Linked DNA regions of Drosophila melanogaster. The protein of the gene in region 1 interacts with the protein of each later gene in a pairwise test. Each region holds a gene or a part of one and is shown on either strand. Other genes may lie near its edges. The genes, in order: CG12645, Pus7 and Sik3.

Evidence for each region.
Region 2: the proteins of CG12645 (region 1) and Pus7 interact in a two-hybrid assay, tested with the Drosophila melanogaster proteins (one large-scale study listed by BioGRID).
Region 3: the proteins of CG12645 (region 1) and Sik3 interact in a two-hybrid assay, tested with the Drosophila melanogaster proteins (one large-scale study listed by BioGRID).

The regions. Positions count from the first base shown.
Region 1 is NC_004354.4:10,150,764-10,157,195, reverse strand, and holds CG12645 (uncharacterized protein), read right to left. Parts: upstream 3,585-6,432; coding exon 3,251-3,584; intron 3,194-3,250; coding exon 3,046-3,193; intron 2,867-3,045; exon of another isoform or gene 2,812-2,866; coding exon 2,673-2,811; 3' UTR 2,187-2,672; downstream 1-2,186.
Region 2 is NT_037436.4:8,506,956-8,514,835, reverse strand, and holds Pus7 (pseudouridine synthase 7), read right to left. Parts: upstream 4,834-7,880; 5' UTR 4,752-4,833; coding exon 4,633-4,751; intron 4,573-4,632; coding exon 4,385-4,572; intron 4,324-4,384; coding exon 3,952-4,323; intron 3,897-3,951; coding exon 3,794-3,896; intron 3,735-3,793; coding exon 2,312-3,734; 3' UTR 1,829-2,311; downstream 1-1,828. Other genes in the region: CG6683 (uncharacterized protein), read left to right, coding at 1-136, 195-640; ZC3H3, read left to right, coding at 5,192-5,859, 5,958-6,503, 6,601-6,796, 6,855-7,238.
Region 3 is NT_033778.4:18,684,542-18,691,963, reverse strand, and holds the start of Sik3 (Salt-inducible kinase 3), read right to left. Parts: upstream 3,833-7,422; 5' UTR 3,414-3,832; exon of another isoform or gene 3,316-3,413; intron 1-3,315. Other genes in the region: CG42855 (uncharacterized protein), read right to left, coding at 4,285-4,515; CG44433 (uncharacterized protein), read left to right, coding at 5,348-7,152, 7,208-7,422.

The DNA.
Region 1 (6,432 bases):
AATGCCAGAGAAGGCGGTATTACTGCAAAATGGCATGGAATATGTAAAGGTAGATCCGTCTGCCGTTGGGATATTGATAGCGAACAGCAATTTTCAGCTGCAAATAATTAAATCAATCGATGGACTGAGGGAGCATTAAATATTTGTTTTCGACCTGACCTACGGCTGATATTACAAATGAGAACACTGAAAACAGCCATTTGACAAAAATGTAAATGTTTAAAATGGATTTAGAAAAAATATATTTTGCGTAATTTTAAGTTTTTTTGTCATCAAAATTTGCAAAATATGGCAAAAAATTTGAAATTCTACTTTTAAATACAGTTTGAGTGGAAATTTAAATACGAGTTTAACGAGACATTACATTCAATATTTGGACAATTATTTTTAAAGTTGTGACAATAAACCTGATTATTTTACGACCGAAATTCAAAATAACCGTTTTTGGCAAAAATTCGATATTTACGAAGGCAATTTTTGTTATAAATTGGCTAAAAATTATCATAAAGATGAAAGAATAACTGTTTTGAGCAGCTAATTACCAATGCTAACGAGCCCTATCACTTTCTGGAGGATTTAGGAAAATTAATTTTTGGGTCAATTTTCGCATTTTTTGTAAGGGGTAACATCGTCAAAATTTGCAAAAAATGGTCAAAAAATAGAATTTCCATTTGTGAATACAGTTCGATTGGGAATTTAATTACAAGCACAACGAGGTATGACATTCCATATTCAGGCAATTATTTTTAAAGTTATGCCAAAAAAACTGATTATTTGATGGCCGAAATTCGGAAAAACGGATTTAGCCAAAAAGTTGATATTTACAATTGGAATTTTCGTCATAACTTGGCTAAAAATGGTCATATTAATGTAAGAATAACTGTTTTGAGCAGCTTATTACCAATGCTAACGAACCCTATCACTTTCTGGAGGATTTTCGAAAATTAATTTTTGGGTCAATTTTTGCATTTTTTTTAAGGGGTAACATCATCAAAATTTGCAAAAAATGTCAAAAAAATAGAATTTCCATTTTTAAACACAGTTTGATTGGAAATTTAATTACGAGCTCAACGAGGTATGGCATTCCATATTCAGACACTTATTTTTCAAGTTGTTGCAAAAAAACTGATTATTTGACGTCTGAAAGTAGCAAAAAATGGAAAAATATTACAAATTCTGCTTTTAAACACACTTTGAATGGAAATTTAAATACGAGTTAAACGAGATATGACAATCCAAATTTGAACAATTAGTTGTAAAGTTGTTGCAAAAAACGGATTATTCTATGACGAAATTTTGGAAAAAACAGATTTTGGCAATAGCAATACTCAATATTACATATTACTTAAAGAAAATCATAAATTAAAGCACAAAATCCCCTAAATAATAAAACCGTCCACCGTCCACAGCAAACGCAGCTGTAGTAGCTTTTATGTATAGGAAAATGAATTAACACAATGATACGCATTGTTTACTGCTGACATTAATGGGCAGGCGCAAAAACAGAAGACCAGCCAGAAGCAAAAGCTGATCTAATTAAAGTGGCCAACTTATTGGGACGGACTGCCGTTGGCACCTCATTTTCATTGTTATACCATTACGTATTTATTATAAGTATGATTATTATTGTTGTTTTTGATTATCATTGTTTGTTACGACAGCAACGGCGCCAGCATCAGCAGTAGCAATAATAAACTGATGCGTGGACAAAGCGGCGTATACTTGATGCGATTGAGTTTTAGCTTCCACATTATTCCACCAGCTCGGCCATAATGCTCTTTTGGTCATTATTGTTGTTGGCGGCACCGTGAACCGACTAATTGTCGAGCTCTGTCCTTTTGTTTCTCGGCCCCGCAGCTGTGGCCTAGTCAATCCATCCATCCATAGCTGGGCTTTCAGTAACGGTTTTTGGCCCATTCGTCGAAGGCCATGTTGCGCTGAAGGCTGCAACGTACGAGGCGCTAATTGAATTTGCTGCCACCGCTGGCCAATTGCAGTACCAAAAATTGAACAAAGCCGCGCAAAGCACTGAAATAGGCAGAAACCTCGAAAACAAAAAAGCGCAACTGGAGGCCAAACAACTGCGGATGGTTCAAATTCTGGGGACACTCTTCTCGATTTCGGGTATATAAGTTCTTGGCAAAAGATTGCATTTGCCCTTTTGCCCAATTACATAATAGTTTCTTAGACATATTTATAATTTTATTGTTATATTTAAGTAATTGTATCTAAATTGAATACTCTCTTCTTTTTTTTGCAGGGTATCAAATAACGAACAGCATCCACAACAACCAGCACTCGTTGGCAGGATGTGCGAAACGGAGTGATGATGAGGCAATTTGTTTAGGCCAGTTATGCATCATTTGGGCGACAGGGCAGTTCAGTACAGAGCATGGCAATGGTAATCGGTGTATGGTGTCCGATGTTGAAAGGATTGTGGATTGTGGATTGCGGATTGAGGACGAAGGACGATGGGCTTAGGTAGGCAATTCGATTTGACGGCGCACAATTTCCGGTCGCGCCCGGCACTGCGTTACTCATTACAAGCGAATAAGCGCCAAGTCCTTGCGGTCAGAAGCGCGTGCCGCCCCACTCAGCTTTATTCGCACACACGGAAAACTTTCACAATTAGCGGCCGGATTCCGGCTGCGATCCTGCAGGATATTTCCGGACTACCGCCGCCGGCAGCAGCAGCAGCAGCAGCTCCTCGGATAATGTGCGCCCAGAAAGATCTCGCAGGCGGAGCAGTAATGATTCGTTGTCCGGCAGCCATTCCATAGATACGGAAACAGGCAAGCGCAGCAGCACCAACTGAAAACAAAAACATAGATACATATATACGGATATGAGTATATCAAAGTTCGAGGTATGTAAATCGAAAGTTACTTTATCTATTTCCATTATTTCATACGATTTTTGAAAGTTTACTCATCATTTTGTTCATATTTAGTGTTAAGTACTTGAAACTTAGCACTTCTGAAGCTAACAACGTTTTGGGTTAAAAGTTAGTTAAAATTTTCAAACTAATTTAAATACCCAACTCACCCAAAAGTGCACAAGCAGAGGGCCCAAAGGTTAGTCCGAGCATTAGGTGACCTCTTCAAACGGGTGACTCCCCGTTGACCACAAGCTGGGCACACGATGTCCATCGCCTGGCTACCCAGTTTGGGTTGCGGGCTTAGGATAAAGAAATCTGGCCAATACACAATTTCAAAATATGCAATCGAATGAGTGTTCAGTTCATAGTTACCATCGCACTTACTTCTCACTGGTGGCATTGCACGATGATCGATGCTATTGTTGTCCGCTAATCCTTCCGATTGTACGCTCACCTCGTCTTTCGTTTGGGACATCGGCATCGGCATCGGCATTTCCTCCACCCTGGACCTTAGATGTTGGGGTTCTGCAAAAAGGGTTCTTCGCCGATCGTTGGAATAATCCAAATTATTCTGAATCGTAAACGTTTGCATTGCATCATAGTAGGTCGGCGGTTCCGATGGCGACAAGGACATGGGTCGCTCTATCTGCAGATCCTGGCCGGGATCCTGGTCTTGGAACAACATGCGATGCTTCTCTTCGGCCATTCCAAACCCTTCTGTTGGGCCAGTTTCGCCCTACGATGGTTTTTATTCCTTGGCAAAAAAGAAACAACCAGCCAAAAACAGTTGTCGATGATAGTGAAACATTCTGGGCCAATTAACCAGCTGCTAGCGATATCAACGAGTCACCCCAATAGAAAACTCCACAGTTGGTCAAAAAGTGCTTGAAATGGAAATGGTCTAGCTGAATCACCTTTATTTCATCGTCGTTGGAGAATATTGTCAGCTTCCGTTTCATTTCCTGTTCATAACTTTTGCAATATGTGCTGCTGACCGCTTGCACTGGCAACACAAATTTTCAAATGCTCAAAAATACACGTAAATATTTTTACAAAAATTTCTTAAAATTATTTGAAGTGTATAAATATCTCTTTAAAACGAGTTGCATAGAATGTTATGAATCAAAATCTTATAGTGTTGCTATTTCTCGCATAGAGTTTTCCACAATGTATTCCTGTTTGCGTATTCATTTTTGTTTTTCTGTTTTCCTTCAAGTTTTTTCAATATTTTCCAACGACACGATGAGGATGGAAAAATGTGAATGAAATTCTGTTTGCCACTTTGCATTTAATTAACTTTATCGCATGCATGTAAATAGTATACAGGCGCAAATAAACTAAACAGGTATACGGCAAATTATAATGAAAACTTTCATTTGCATACGGATAACTGACATATCTGGATTAGGTAAAAAAATATACCTTTAGTTTATCCAAAAAAAAAAAAGGAACGTTCTTCTTTACATTGCTTAAACTAACATTTATCGTTGTCCGTTAAATGCCTGAACTTTCCTGATATTAAATTTGCCTGTTTTTTTTTTAAGGTCTTAAATTTTATTTATGAATTCCAGGGTGTGCCAACCTTTGATTTGCTTACTCCTGCTGTTGTTGTTCCGCCATCTGCCATTCAAATGGGAATCGGGTTTTTTTGGGATCGGGGCACTGAGAGCTGTCGCTGCATAAATTTGCAGTCCATTTCAAGTTGGCTCATCGCTTTGATGTTTGATTTATTGCACGCTGTTTGTGGGCCCAATGGGGGGGGGGGGGGGTGTGATAGGGGATTGAATAGGGGTCAAGGGGTTAAGGGGGGGTGGGGTCCGAGTGCCATGCCGTGGGCTTATCGGCCGACATGCCAGACAATTGTGAATAGCAACTGCAATTGAATTTGACAGCGGCGGAGTGAATGGGGACCAACTCGCGTATCAGGTGCTGACTTGGGTACGCAAATAAATGTATGAGGCGGGCAAATAAATCTGTAAAAGGGTTCGCATTCCATTATGGATCCTGACATTTGTCTATTTATGCATTCTAAAGGTCAGCTATCAGGGTTTAAAAATGGAGCTACATAAATAAGTTAGTTGTTAAAGGTTAACAGGGGCGTATCTTTATTATTGGATTATTTATTTATTTACATTTATTCCTGGCAGTTCATTTAGTTCATTAAATTCTTACATTCAAATTAAGAGCACTCATTTGGGCCACTCCTTGCTCGATAATCCCGACGATTGGCCTTCGTTTTTTGGGGGTCTTGGGATTTGGCTCAACATTCGTTCAACTGATTAAACTGTTAGCTTATTTTCGCACAGACCGCCTATAGCTCTCTCTCTCTCTCTCTCTCTCTCTCTCGCTCTCTCTAGCAGAAGCACCTTCTCTGTCGCACTGATTGCGGCTTTGGCTGAAAATGTGTGCAAATAATATTTCGTGTAATTGCAATTAGCGCCAAAAAGGTTTTCACCGTTCACAGCTGCTGAATGGAGCAGTCGTATCTTCATCTCCATCAGCGCCCACTTTTCACCACGCTTTCACCACCGCCCATATAATCTGCCTCTTTCACTTTTTTTTTATATACAAATATACATACATATATACGTGTATATACATATATATTTATATATCTATTTGTTGTTTGCTTTTGCGAGGAAATGCGTCCGTGCGAATTGCGATTTCTTCGATGCTTCAATTACATTTGTACACCTGGGAAAAATATTCACCCGAAGATGGCAAGTTTTGTACAAGTTTTGGTTTGGCAAAACATAAGCTTGAGAAATATTACGAATTGTTTGTAGTGTAGAAATACTCCATGTACCTAGGCGCCAGGAAATCAATGTTTAAAAGGGATGCTGAACTGCCTCTTCTCACACCCTCCTGCTGGCTTGTTAATTTGCCAAAAGAGAGAAAAAAAAGCCCGAAAGAAGTGAAGGAAAAGATATTGAAGGTGCCAGATCCACAAAACTCTACCCTCATCCGCAAAATTCTTCAGCCAAAAAAAAAAAAATGCTGAACACTAAAGCGACTAAATAAGGGGCAAGAAAAACAAAGGAAAAAGTCGAGTAAATGTTCCTTGGGTTCGTGTAAAATAGTTAAAGTTATGAGCCAAAATGGAGCCAAAGAGCAAAATCAACTCGCTCACACGCACACACATACTCTCAAGCACTCAAAGTGCAACAGTGTGTGTGTTTTTTTTTTTTTTTTTTTTTTTTTTGGTAGGGTTTTGGGGCACGAGTAATTCACATTTCGAGCACGTCTCGCTTTTATGCTCTTAAATGGCGAGTGTATCTGTGCAGGACCTCCATTTCCCATCACATGTGTGCGTGTGTGTGTGCGTGTGTGTGTGTGCCGTCTGTGGCAAAACGATAATTTTGTTGATGATGCCATGATTATAAGTTTTAGCCTCATCGCAAGAGCTCTCAGCTTGCCGCGGGGAACAATGGCGGTTAGAAAACAGCCAAGAAAGCGTTGAATCCCCGGATTAGTGACTGCCGCAATACCCGGTGTTTCACTTAAAATATTTATTAAAAAAAATAAATGCAAACAGTTGAAAATAGCGTCGAATT
Region 2 (7,880 bases), on another chromosome or scaffold:
GACACGCGACTTATTGAGCTGGTTAGGGCTAATCCCAAGCTTTATGAGCGCGAACTTAGAAACGCACCCTACGAAGCGCATAAGAAGCGACATCCGGAAATCTGGAGCAGCATCGCCACTTCATTAAATTCAGAAGGTAAGAAACTGATAAATTGTATAAATATTCCCTAATTCCTCATTATATTTTAACTTAGCTAGTGCCTGTGTCAGTCGTTGGAATCATCTGGTGGCCAAACAGCGTCGGGAGCTGGCCAAAGAAAAGGCCGGAGGCACTGGCTCCGATTGGAGTCTTCTGCCGCATTTGAAATTCCTGCAGCATCACCACCATCCGATTAATCACCGAAATTCGGGTGATCTGAGTAGGAGCACACTGAAATCCAGCGACGAGGTCAACGATGATGAGGATCCGCTCCAGGAGGCCATGGATGAGCAGCTGGCCGTTGCGGGAGCTGCACCAGCACCACCCACAAATCCTGCCCATGCAACGCCAGTGGCTCAAGCAGAAAAGAGGATAGAAGCCCTGCTTGAAGGACTGGGCGAAGCAAACCGAATTAAGGCGGAGAAACGCATTCTGGCCTACCTATGCAAATGCAATCTGCGCGCCCTGAACGACGAGCAAATCGATGATATAGTTATTTAGGAAGATTGCCAAGATGATATAGTTATAAAGGAAGATTGCCATGATGATAAGTTAAATACATACATGCCGTGATAGGATATCAAAAGTAGCAAACATCACTGATCATATAATTGTTTAATAATTAAGTCATTTTTGTTATAGTTTATATATCTGGACAATTATCTTAAGCGAATACTAAATAACTTCTTTTTCCAAATGTATGCTTCCCTAAAAAATATTGTTAATCCATTCATTTAACCTAATCTTCGCATCTAATGAAGTTTACTATACAAACTAACTATTGCATTGTATGATATGATAAAACATTAACACGCCTGTGATTAAATAGTTTATTTTATTTGAGGCTTAAGATTAGCAATTTAAAATTCAAGACAACTGGTAAACCCCAAACAAAGCATCAATTGTCGCCAGAGGTCATTTATAGAGCCAGAGACTTGCGGGAGTGTATAGTAATGCAGTAGGAAGCTATCTGTGTGGCAAAAGCCAACTTTGAACAGGCGGGCGGGGAGCAGGTGGAGTAGGCGAGGGAAAATCGAATTGAGCCACGCCAAAAAACTCCTACTATGACGCAGCTGCTGCTGGGAACTGGTCAAAGAGTCAAAGAATGCGCGCGCAAGCAATAACATGTCCAATATCCATGTCTGGATCGGATCGGGGGAAGGCCTCCAGCACGGGGACAGGGCGACGACGACGCCAAAACAAGCATTTAGTTTATTAATTTGACGACTGCCGCAGGGGGAGCAGTGGGCCGAAACAAAAACATAACGAGCGAGGAGCGTCGTGCACCCTTAACGACTGATGCCACACTACCACTACCCCCTCGTACCGACTGAGTCCCCCTTACTTCACACGTACATGGTGAACCCTCCGACGCACTAAGCCACTATATGAACCAACTACTCCTACGGCCAGCCACCTACCCACTAGACCATTCCCATTCCCAATCCCCGGACTCAGCTCTTGGTATTAACACCGTATTATCGATTGATTTCCAGCACAAGCACACAACAAAAATCAATAGGCTGCCAGAGCCAAAATCAAATATTGTACAGTTCTGTGATTGTTTAGTTCAGTGTTGTCGTAAAAGTTATAAACAATTTGTAGACTCGAATGTATACTTACGCCTTAATAAATGGATTTTCAAAGTACGCGCCCAAAACGTTTAAATGCTACATTTAACTGGAAATTCACCTTGTCTCGCCTCTTGGTTTTTTTATTTGGTTTAAAATCTCTTTAAATCACTGGATGAATTGGATGGAGTCCGTGGATTTTTGGGGGACCGTGCTTGTTCGTTATTTGTTGTCAATTAATAATTTGTTATTGCTCTTCATTGAGAACGCTGGGGAAAACCGTGCGACTTGGACTTTTGAGCTGGGGAAACTGCGCAGCGCGTCGCTTGAGCTTTCGCGTTGGTGGCCACCGAACGAATAAAATCGCAGTCAAAGAAACAGGACCAAAAGGACTCTCCCAGGCGAGAGAGAGAGAGAGAGAGAGAGCGATTGAGATTGACGGGGTGCGAGCCACGGGATGCGACAGTGAGAGAGAGAGAGAGAGGGAGCAGCCCTCGTCCTCACGTGCGCATTGTTATTGTTGTGGTTGGTTCGAAGTTGGATACGAAGCGCGCGTAAAATTGATTTCCTGAGCATATTGATTTTCGGTATCTCACTTGGCCTACACCGCCTCCTCGGCCCCCTGAGTTTCCGCCTGCTCAGTTTCCTGCCCATCCTCGTCGGCCACCTCCTTTACCACCTCCATTTGTTCCTCCTGGGTTCCTACCGCCTTCTTTTCATTGTCCTCCTTAGCCATTGCCTGTTTCTCCAACTGCGTTTGCGATGCTGACGATGTGTCCTGCTTTAAGAGTTCTCGCAAAAACATGGTGGCATAGGCAGCCGTGGGCAGCGAGAACTCCAGCAGGAGTGCCATGTAATTGGCCTCAGCTTCAGCTGGTTCTGGTGCAACCGGAATGTTCTTCAATAGCTCCCAGTCGGAGGCGATAAGTGTATCCTCCGGCGTATTGTACATTCTAAAGCTCCACTTGAGATCACTGGACGATATGATCATCTTGCGGTAGGCGCCAGCCAATGCGTATGTCTTCTCCTTGTGCTTCAGTTGATCCGAGGAAAGACCCACTTCGGCGAGCATTTCCTCGTACCACGCGCCGCACTCGTTGCTGGGATAGGTGATGTCGTGTCCAGGCAGGGGAAGGACCACATCGCAAAGTTTGTACTTGCCGCTAGCGATGTCTTCTGCTGTGAGCGGGCGAACCTTTCGCTTGAAAATCGACTCCTCTTCGATGGCTTCATCCCCTTCGGGGACTTCCAGAGGTTCATCGTTAGGCTCCTCTTCTTTTTGCTCTTCCAAGGCCTCGCCCTGCTGCGCCTGCTCTTCCGAGGCTTCCGACTGATCCTGCTCCACATAAACCAAATCCCCGGGTATCAATTTCAAGCCGAACTCCTTAATTCGTCTAGACGCTATCCTGTTGAAGATCAGGCTTTGGTAAGCATGTGGATATAGCATGAGCATGTTGCGTGGTATCTGCCGCAGAGCTGATGAGTAATCTGATTCACCAAATCTGGCCAAGCCGTCCAGCAGCTTCTTTTCGATGAACTTTTCGCCGTAGATCTGTGCAGCTGCCGCCGCGGAGTCGCGATTTTTCCACCACTCCTCGCGTATGGGACGCAAAAACTCCACATCCGAGTCCCGGGGTTTCAGGATCAGTTCGCAGGCCAGTTTGTAATCGTGCTTGAGCAGAGCAACACCCACCTCATAGGTTGGGACACTGGCGCTGTTGCCGAACCGCTGCAAGCCATAGTAGTTGATGAAGCCGCGTTCCTTCAATGATTGCAGTGCCTGCTCGATTTCTTCTCGCTTCTCCTTGGCAATGTGTCGCAAGGCAATACGAAAACGATTGCCCTGCAAATCGCCTAGCTTCAGTGTATTGGATTCGAATCCAAAGTTGCCGATATGAACATTCCGTTGGGAGCGAGCTGCAACCAAAATGCTCTCTGGTGTACGACGCTTGACGGAGAACTTCTGGGTGGTTTTGGCCCGCTTGTCCTTGATGCCGCTGTAGTTCACCTGCGATGGTCGTAAGCTGTAGAAAAATAATGTTTTCTTAGTATATTAAAGCATTTAAAATTTGATCAAACTTACTTCAGTCGCGCTGCTAAAGTAGAGGCCACATCGCTGGTAACCAAATTGGTTTTGTGCACCAGGAAGGTCACGTAATCCGCCGGAAAGCTCCAGCGTTTGTCACCTATGGAATTCGATGCATAAAAAAAGGAATTCCCTGGGTAATCATTTCTACTAACCGCGTCCTGGCTTTGGTTTAAATACTTTTATAGTCTTCTTCTCCTCTGCCGGCACCTGTGAGTCTTTCTGGGTTGAGGTTTCACCTTCAGCCGCATCCTTATTTTCCAAAGATGCCTCCTCCTGGACCTTCGGCTTAGCCTGCTGCTGTCCAATGGTTGTGGACAGTAGCTTGCCCTTGTAAAGCTGTTTTATCATCTGGTGGACTTGTGTTCGCTGCTCCTTATCCAGAGTGGTCACATCAATCTCCACCTTTTGCTCGATCGCGGGATCGTTTTTGGCCTTAGCCAGATTGGCTATATCCTGCCAAACTTCCGGGCCGATTACTGCCTCCAGTTCTTTCCGCCAGTTGTCCAGTTCGTTTTCGGCCACAGCTGTTATAGTATGAGATGCATGAGCATAAGCAAGTATGCAGGATAATTGGTGAATACAGACCCACAATAGCCACTTTAGGCACACTGAGATCGTTCAGTTCCAGAACCTTTCCATTGCTATCAATCTCGTTCACGTGAAAATCAGAGAAGCGAGACTTAAGTATTCCCGTGAAGCCAGGTGCCTCCGGGTTAGTGAACTCCGTAATGCCCACTTGGGTCTCCAGCAGCGTGGATTTCTGTTGTGGAGCACTTTTGTCCAACGAAAAACGCCGGTTAACAACGATATTATTTATGGGATTTAATTTGTACCTGTTGCGCTGACCGCCACCATTGTTTTGGGGGCGATCCTTCTTCTGACCACGCCAGTTGCTCTTGTTGTATGGCCCGGAATGGTTATTCCTACGTCCTCTGCCCCGATCCTTGCCCATCTTGGTTCAAAATTCGCGTTTGAAAATTTGTCGGCAAATGAAATCCACGTTTTGCACAACATATGATGTGCCCATTCACAATAAGCTTTTTAGGTTTATTAGGGTGGCCGCATGTGCCATTTATTCGGGAAATAGATTTCTTAAATGGTTGTTAGCATAAGTTCATCCGCAAATATTCCTCTTTTTTTATATTGTATGATAAATATAATTTAAAAACATGCTTAATATTAACATATCATAAAACTTTTGTTAGTATATTTTCCTCATTTATACTTCAGTATTTTTTGGTATTTTTCTGGTCCCAGATCAAGTTCACACTGCGTACGTAATGTAAAGAAAATGTGCAATACAAAGAAGCATTGGAAAGAAGTGTAAAAATTGAGAAATAACCAAAAATTGGAACGGATTAATTCATTAGGTTAAGCCAAGGAAGCAACGAAATGTTGCCGCATATAAGTGCCGACGAGGCACAGCCGTCTATGTCGCGAAAGGTGTACATCAATCCGAATTTTCAGCTGCAAGGTCAAACGGCGCATCAGCTGCCGTTCCAAGTGCCCTTCCAGGCGTTCCAGGCGCCACTGCAGCCTCAGCCCGCGATCCATATCAATCCGCACTTTCTGAATCGCCAGCGGGCCATGTACGACCAATACCAGCGGGAGCAGCAGGAGCAGCTTATGATGCAACAAGTTTCCGCCTCGCACTATCGACTGGATCCAACGATACACCTACTGGCGACTCCACCTCCTCCGCCCGCCAAGATCATCAGCAAAGTGAGCACGTGTCTCGTGCGCAAGCCATCAGTGGTGGCAAGTGGTCCGGCGGTGAAGCTCGCTGCTTCAGTACCTGTGCCCACTGTTTCCAGCCTGGTGCAGCCTCCATTGGTAAGCATTTCCAAGCGGAAAATTGTGAGGCAAGGAGCATTGAAAGCAGCGCCAGCGGTTGCTGCCCTCCATCCTCCTCCACCTGCTAAACGCACTAGGTACAAATTAGTGCGTTCCATATCACTTACCTGCACACCGCTGGTCAAAAAGCGTCGTCCTCTACGCGAGTTTGTGGGCCAGTACGCCCTGAGACGCACCAATGAAGCGCAGCCCAACAGAAAACTGAGGTAATGAAAATCGGATACGAGCAGTTGAAAATAGTCAAGCAACAGGCGACTCTGTTAGACAAGGTAATGTACATCAACTAACTTAACTTTTATTACAGCTCCAAGCCGCAGGCGCTGAAGCTGGGCGTTAACAAATCCCTGAGCATGGTCAGCATACACGGTGTGATGTACAAGAAGATATCGAAGAACAAAATAACCAAGCTGGATGCCAGTTCCTCCGCTAGGGTAGCCAAATCGGAGAGTCCCAGGACCTTGCAGCGTACCTTGTCCGGCAGAACGCTCTTCGTCAGCGGCAATAAGTTCATTTTAGATCCTTCCGGCTGCCGCCTGACCAGAGTTTCAACCTCATCAACTGGTGCTACCCAGAGTAGCGTAAATCGTAGCATCCTGAGGCGCATCGATATCGGCGGCCTTACCTACGTTGCTTCGCCAAAGGCACTGAATGTCTTTGTACGCACCAGTAATCACGTGTCGCGAGCCCATTTAATCACCGCCAAACAGAGAAGCCTGACGTTGCTCAACAAATCGTTGGTGAAGACCAATGTGCCTTGTGCCATCTTCCAGAAGCTGGGCAAGTGCGTTGCCCATAGTCGTGGCAAGTGCCGCAAGCTGCACGACAAGCGGCAGGTTGCCATCTGTGTCAGGTTTGTCCTTGGCCAAGCGAAGAGTGCTAAACCTTCGATGGCGTCCAATGTTCGAAATTCGCAATGCGGTTATCTTTTTGAAATCATTTACTTGCAGCTTTCTGCGCGGGGAGTGCACCAAACCCAAATGCCTGCTGTCCCATAATGTCACGCTGGAGAAGATGCCCGTCTGTCGGTACTATTTGCGCGGCGTTTGCGTTCGCGAGGATTGCCCGTACCTACACAAGAAGCTGAGCAGCAAGACCGAGATTTGTATTGACTTTGTGCGCGGCTACTGTCCGTTGGCTGCCGAGGTAAATAGGTCTGCCACTTATTTTCATTGAAAACCTATTAACTCCAAAACATTTTAAGTGCAACAAACGTCACGAGTTTTCCTGTCCCGAGTTGGAGCGCAAGGGCAAGTGCGAATTACCCAGGTGCGTGTTCTGTAAGAAGTCGCCATCAAAGCGATTGGCCAAAGTCAAGTCGCGTCCCAAACTGGGCAGTAAACCTGTCGCCTTCACGGATACCGCGAAAGAATCGTCTACAGCGGATGAGTTGCCCACCAGTTCACGCTACTTTGGGTCCCACAAGGAACCAGCGGAAGCAATATTGACTAGAGATGATGTGGAACAGAAGAAACCTGAAGCGGAGGATGAGGATCAGAAGGAAGCGGGTGCCCCTTGCCCTCGACGACGTCCTCAACTGGGAACTCTACCCTCTTTTATTCCCTTAGGTGGCGAAGAAAAGCTATAAGGCTATGCGAAGGCTATGGACCCAACGTTTCAGGTACAAATTAATTCGGTTAAGTATTGTTTTAACGTTTAGTCTAAGATTTATCTTTAGTAGCTTATTTTCAAGTTTTAATAAAATATTCAAAAAGACAAATTTATTTGCGTAAAATAAATAAAAGATACATTTTATTGGTTGGGTATATATTTGCTACGCTCGAGGAAAATGTAAACATTTGCATTAGTCGTTTTATGTTGTTTATGTATATAAATTATTAAACTAAGATTATTACCAAAATAAATCACAGTTTTTTCGCGGTGTATTCAACCATCTGGCAACATGCCGATCGTGCAGTGTGACCAGGTGGCACCACTTGTTGTTGGATTTTGTGGCGCCACATAGTTGTGTACCTGTTTTTAAGCCGCTCTCTCGATTCGAGTCTCGATTTTCTCGCCACAGTTGAATTTTGCATGCGGCTCGTACAACACCTGAACAACAAACGCGGATTCCGTTTCGAGCAACAACAAAAACAGTGAGTGTGTGTTAGTGCTCGTGCGTGTGTAGCGGTGGCTCTTGCAAATTTATTGCTCACCAGGCCAAAAAGAAAAGCGAAAAGGCTGTGAAGTTACCAAAAATAAAATGCGGACCACAAACATGGGAGATTTG
Region 3 (7,422 bases), on another chromosome or scaffold:
TTTTTCTTTATCGCGGGTGGGCGTGGCGCATGTGTGCGTGTGGTTTAATGAGCAAAACAAACACCAAAGATAGCAAAAAGAGAAAAAGAAATAAACTAATGAAAACAGAGAGCAGTAGTGTTATCTATTCGAGCAGAAATCTCAAAGAAAACAAAAGGCACATGAATATTTTTCCAGCCATAACCGCTTTTTGTACTTTGATTTCTAAGCGCTGGCAATGTTTTTATTTCATTTTATTTTATTATTTTAGCTTTCAAAAAAACTTGGTGATAACATTTTTGGTTCAGCGTATGTTCATAAAAAACGGAACTTTTGAAGTAAACTAGTTAAAAAATTTTGTTATGCTTAAAAAGTACATTATCTCAGAATTTTTTTTCAGAATACTTTCAAGATATTTTTCCAAATACGAAAAAGTAGATATTTTACTCAATGAACATATTTTTATTAGGCAGGAATAGTTTTAAGTTTTCAGTGTAACGTTAAGAAAATGAAGCGCGTTAAGACCACGATAAAAAAAGAAAACAGGGCCCATGTCTGTTTTTTTTTTTTTTGTAAGCTGATCGCGCGAAAGAGACAGCGAGTAATAGGGGCTCACAATGGGTTAATGTACAACATCAAGGTCGTATGAAAACCGGGCACTTGCACAGCCACATTCGCACATAATCGTGAAGCGAAAGGGACGGTGATAGCGGTGGGGAACAGAGAGGGGTAGTCGTCAAAAAGCTCATTGAAATCAATTTAGACCAGAGTGTGTGCGAAGAAGAGGAAGCAGGCGGCGACGACGACGATCAAACATTAACCCAACCAACACTCGCCACACACTCGCATAATCCAAACAAATTGTTTTCCCCCAAAACTTTCTCGTGATATTTCGCGGGTGTGAAAAGAGCCGCGGCAGCTGGACACCTCACCCTCTCGCTTCCTCTCACATCCACCGATTTTCTCACATTTCTGAAAGGTTTTCGCGTACGCTTTCCTATTGTTTATTTGCATTTATCAGTGGAAAGACACAAAACAGTTGTAGAATTTTTGTGGAATTAGCAAGCGAATGGCATACCGCAGACCGAACCACGCGAAGTACGAAGCGGACGGAGTCAAAAGTCAAAACTGAATGAACTTCCAACCTGGAAGATACTTCTCCGGCTAACTGAAGCCGGGGAGGCTGCGACCTCGCTTCCAGCCAGCCACACACACTTCCAGCGCAGAGCGAGAGGGAGCGACTGTAAGAGGGAAACAGAGCACGCAGCACTATGTGGTGGGGATGTAAAAGACGTCACCGGGTCAAAGGTGCTAAAAATCCACTATATATGTATCGCACGGTGTACTCAAAGAGGAGTTACTCTATTCATTATTTTTTTTAAACTATAAATAATTTAAATAATTTATTGAATCATTATTAAAGTCTAGCTTTAATTCGCTGAATGGAAGTTAAAAAGTATTGAATTATACAAAAGACTGATTTGAAGCAAAGTGTGATTTGAACCTATACATATGTAAATCTTTGAACTATCCGATTTTAAACTGCTACAGTAAATATATCCTTAAATAAACATAGAGAACCTTAACATTTAGTAGCATAAAAGTGCCTACTACTTGAAAAAAACGCTTTTAAAACTGCTTTTGAAGCAAGAGTTGGGTATTCAACGTATCTGGCCAATTTTGCTGATAACTAGCAGTTGTTTTGACTCTTTTTTACCAAATCGGAGAGACAAAAATGATTAAAAAAATAAAAACAACAGCAAGCGAAAGGCAAAAAAGAAACGACAAGTAAAATAAATGAGGCAACAAGCCGAAAGCAAAAGAGAGCCGAAAAACCAAAAGCAGCAGCAACAACAACTAGAGAACTTGGACTTACACAGCATCCAAAGCCAGACAGAAAAGCAGACGGAAAGAGAGGGGGCGAGTGGGAGTGGGGGTGGCGAACGGTGGGTAGTGGGCAGAGAAAAAGGGATAGGGCGACGGAGCAAAGCAAATATGCGAGAAGAGAGACAATCGTGGGTTCTCCATCGACTGACAAAGCTAAGAGGGAGAAGGCACTATCAGCAGGGCGCCCATTTGCATGTGTGCGTGAGCGGGGGCGCAGCAACAGCTTGTGTATGTGTTTGGGGGCTTGGGACTCCAAGGAGTCAAGGAATTTTACAGGAAAACTACCGCAACCCGTATGAAAATTACAATTACTGGGGCATACACAAAGAGAAAATGTGATCTGTGCTATGAATTTCAAAATAATTTTTGTAACTCCAAGAAATAGCCAACTAAACTGAAAGAAATACTATTGAACGTTATTTTTACAGATTTTTAAATATATTTTAAAACATTTATAAAAACATTTTTAAGGTTTCTTGGGTTAATTCGCAGTGACATATTTGCTTTAGAGATAAAAAAAATCTCAAAACTCATTTAAAATTCAAAACATAATGAGAACGTACTCTTTGCTTCTCAGTAGTAATTTTAAAAAAACAGTAAAGATTGAGCAAAACGAATTTGGGCTTTTCGCTTTTGCTCAATCCATACAAAAATAGCTATCAATTCATTTTAGGAATGTCCATTTCGACTTTCAGTGTTGTAGTTAATGAAACAAGATTTTATTCAAGATCACTACACTTCTTTTATTCCCGTGCAATTGCATATGTGTGACGACAAAAGAATGAAAAAGAACTTGTCGAGGTCGCACGCACTCACACACACCACACACTGTTTACAGGAGAAAGCACCTGCAATTGATAACGGGTCGCCAAATGGTAAATAGTACAAACAATGCATACGCAAGGTGTCCAATTAGACCACTCAACGGCAATTGGCTTTTCGCTGCCCCTTATTTGCGTTTTACCGGAGTTGCAATGACGTACGCACGCACACACACACATGCGTATAAAAGCGAACGAGTGAGAGAGACAGAGAGCCCCCACCGCAAACATACAACCACACACACACTCGTACACGCTCACACCGTTATGTATGGGAAAACGTCACGACTTCCAAAGTGGAAAATCGTACGCGCATTTTTTTTGTTTTCCTTTTTCCACGGCTCGGAATCGAAGGTAAAACTTGCCGCAGCGCACGTCACATAATTGCCATTCATGAATATGTTTTTAGCTTCCGCATCTCGGTGGCCATTCGAGATGGCCGCGTGGGTCACGAGCTCTTTTATTGCACTCTATGCTGTGAACTGGTGGAAGCGCATATCGTGTCACGCGCTCATCACTGGAAATAGTTGCTCACCACACACACACATGCAACAGCGCTGCTGCTGCTGTGTTGTTGTTATTCCGCTTTTCTTTCAGCCTCCGCAAAAACAACAATAACAACACTCACAAAAGCTGGTCAAATACAAAACACACTTGTAAATTTATTTAATCTTCGCTCCACCGTTTTTTTTTTTCGATTTTTTCATACGCTCTGGTCGCGCTTACACATTACGATTTCTATCTCTCCGCTCTTCTTCATTTTACTTGATTTCCATTTGTCGCTTCCTCCGCTTTTTTTTGTATTTCGCTGGCGAGATTTCTTTTCACGTTGAATTTATACTATATTGCATTTATATTATTGCGCTTATCACTGGCGCTTTGTTGCTGGCTTCTTGCCTTTCGCTTACATATTATATTCACTTGGTTGGTGTGTGTGTGTTTGCACTGAACAATCGGATGCGGATTCGAAATCGCGTGGGCGCAGCGTGCGACGCGTAATTTTGCATTTAACATTTAACATGAACACACATAAATAATCGCCCTCGGCTGTTCTATTGGAATTTTTTTCTGTTATTCGTGCCGTCTACGGCGATTCTGATTGGACAACACCACCTGCTCGCGAAGCAAAAACTCGGCACCGACTCAGTGTGGCCGTGTAGCGAAGCAGACAAAATGACGAAATCGATGACGACTGCGAGACAACTCTGTGGAAGAAAGCGGATATTAGCCAACACTAAATGCAGATTTAAATTCGTTACATATTTACCAATACAATGTACATTCGATTAAAACACTTAAATCTGTAAATGAAAATTATATGTGTGCTTTAGACTTGTTGAAAATATATAAACAATGTTTAGCCTGGAAGCAAACAAAGAAACAAAACATTAAATTTATAGTAATAAAATAAAAGTTAATAGCTTGTAAGATTTTGAAGTCCTCTCTGCATCAATTTACAAGGCTTAAAGTCTTAACAAAAGGTTGGATTTCTCTGCATACTTTCAGGCGTCCATCAAAGAGTATATGGTAAGAATCAGAGCAATTGCTTTAGTAAAATACTAACCAATGAGTCATTATTTCCCCAACTTTTTGGAGCTTAGAGATAAAGTTGGCGCTTTTGGCTGGAGGATTTTTTGGGCGGCTCCGCGGTTTGGGGTCTCTGGCGTATCACCCTGGTATTCTGGGGCACCTGTCGCACTTTCTGGATCAGGATGGTCTTCGGAATCTCACGAGCCTCGTACCATCCGGGATTTACGGCTTTGACCCACGAACTGGCACAGCACTCGAAGCTGCTCAATAGTTTTGCCACACCGCCAAAGGAGACCATTTTTCTTGAGAAATAAAACTTAAAAAATCTATGGAAAATATAGAACAATCTGAAAACTGGATTATGTTCACTTGAAACTTGTAAATGAAATGAGTTTATTTGATTGTCTGTTCATGAAAGTCCTTTTCGACGCTTGCTTTTGTAACGGAAATTTCTACTTCCTGCGCAGCTTGGAATACGCACGAAACCAAGTGGCATCTTGGAAGGACCCCGTCCATGAATGAATGCCTTCCAGCTGGCCGTTGATTCAACTTTCCACCAGCAGCCACCTGAATGAAAATGGAGCCGGGAATTTCACTACACCACTAAAACGGAAATTGCGTAGGTGGAGAGAGAGAGAGAGTAAGAATGAGCGAGAGGACCAAATGAGTTACGCACCAGGAGTCGCGTGACGTCATTTCAAAGTTTGTGCACCACTGCGAGAAACTAAGGAATATATATAAGACAGAATTTAAACGATTTAAATTAATTTGAAAACCATATTTTGAAAATACATTTAAGATTGAAAGTTTTATATTACTTGAATGGACAAATAAATTTTTTTTTTTTTTTTGATAAAAATATGTTGTTTATCACAAGAATGAACAAAATATTGCAGTTCTATAGCCTTATAAACAAACATTTCATAGCAGGCCGTTTACCAATTGTCAGGGTTTTTCCAATAACAGATATGGCACCAAAAGTGCATCCAAAATTTTCAATGAACCCACAAGCCCCAATTAAACCAGAAAAAAAAACTATTCAACGGCAAAGCAAGCCAGCAGAAACTTTCAGAGTCAGCAGTTGAAGAACAAAACCTCAAGCGAATCAATAAGAATCCATTAAATCCAGCATGGTTCGGAGAAGGGTACTGACTAATTCGGCCAAGCAGGCTTCGATGAATGCCTATCAGCAGCTGTGGCAGCAGCAGCAATTCGCCCGAGCTCCATTAGTTGCCGCTATGCCAGAATATTGGCATTCCGTGTGCAACAAATTTGGTGGCGCCATGCCGCGAATGGCGGTTTTAGCTCCGCCGGAAGTCAGTAGCCGGAAATTGAGTCGTTTGCGAGGGCAGCTAATGAAATCCCAGCGAAAAAGCGCTTCGATTCAGAGCTTCATACCAAACTACGGACTGCAGCAGCATCCTCAAATGCAATTTCAAAGGGGCTATCAAAACGCCAGCAATGGATCCTATCCAAGTCGAAGTGTTTCTAAGGCAGCTCTGCTGACACCCGGTTGCATCTTAGCTGCTTGTCAAAATCAAGGCTACGGTGGTGTTCCAGCAGTGGGAGTTGCATCCGCGTCGCAGCAGCAACATCTTCAGTTGAATCAAGGAAATTTGTTCAACTATCCGGGTGCAGTTAGTCCTTTGCAGTGGCAACAACAGCAGTATCAAGTGCAGCAGCAACACAAGCAATTTCTACTGCAGCAGCAACAGCAGCTGAAGGCAGCACCTGTTGGCATTCTGAAGAATTCTTCAAGAACTGGAGCTGGTCAGCAGCTCAATGGGGATTACTTTGCTGCCAGTCCTCCTCCAAAAACGAAGAAAGTGACAATCAGGAGCACATCTCCCACCCCCACCTCCACATATCAAAAACCCATAGTGGAGAAAATTAAACCTTTGCCTGATATTCCGCCAAAGCCAAATAAGAAATCCAAACTAAATACACTGAGAAAAGAGCGTCAGCAACTAGAGCAGTTGCAACTGCAACGTGAGCTACTCAAACAGCGAGAATCTATTCAGAATCAAAGAAAACAATTGAAGCGAGGGCATCAAAACCAAAAGGATTCGTGGAATCAGAAAACCCATCTGGAACCTAATACATGTGCAAGCTTCAATTTCGGAAAATTAGCAGATCGTTTTATAAAAGGCCTCAGTTGCGATTCAGATACAGAGACTCCCATGTTTACGGCAGCCAATGCTAAAATCAAGCCACTTAATCAAGGACATGATAAACCACATTCAATAAACTTTTCCTATGAGGGCAACACACTGGAGAAAAAACCCGAGTTGAAGGCCAAGCCTAAAAAGTTGGATTTGTCCAACAAGGAGAGTAAGACATCATCGACAGACTTGCTTGATCGCGTTTCCAAAGAATTTGATTTGGAAATTGATAGCAGCACAATTACGCTGACTACAGAGCAGAATCAGTCAAAACCGCCATATCAAAGTCGCACTTCTTTGACCGACAAGGCTACGAATACTAGATCATCAGACCCTCTGAAAAAGTATCTAAAGCCTGGTCCACAAAAAGCCACATCGACTACGTCAGCAACTAGTAAAGGATCGCGGAAAATGAACATCAACGAGCTGTTGCGAAACGAAAAAGTCAAGGGGCTGGATGACAATCCCACGTGGCAATCGCTAATGCAACTGGTTGCTCATATGTGCGAGACCAAGGAGAGCGAGAAGGTCGATAGGGAGCAAAAGAATCGATTGCTGGCAGGATCTGGTGCCGATGGTCTTCAGAAGCAATATTCCGTATACCTAATGGTTACCTCTGATGAAGAAGACGACGACAACGACGATAGAACTTTCACCAAGACCAATGATGAACAGAAGGGCATTGATCTCAAATTGGGTAACCATCAAGGGATTCATGGGGGGAACGAGTACGTCCAGCGGTGTAGCAATGTCTACGAAGCGGAGCATCCGAGGTAAATTATGATGATGAATGCAAATCATTATTTATGCACCTTTTTATTACCATAGGCTCATTCGCCACAAACGCTCGAGGAAGAGATTGAATCCCCGCCTGCGTGATCTTTCCATACCCTATCCCAATACGCAGACTCAGTTACCAATGAGAAGACCACTCCACTGGCCCAAGCCGGATTACTCCAAGACACAGGGTCGTTCGAATCGTACTCGAAGTCCATCACGTGCTCGATCCTACTCCTCAGCCAAGAAGGTTGTGGCCAAGCGAA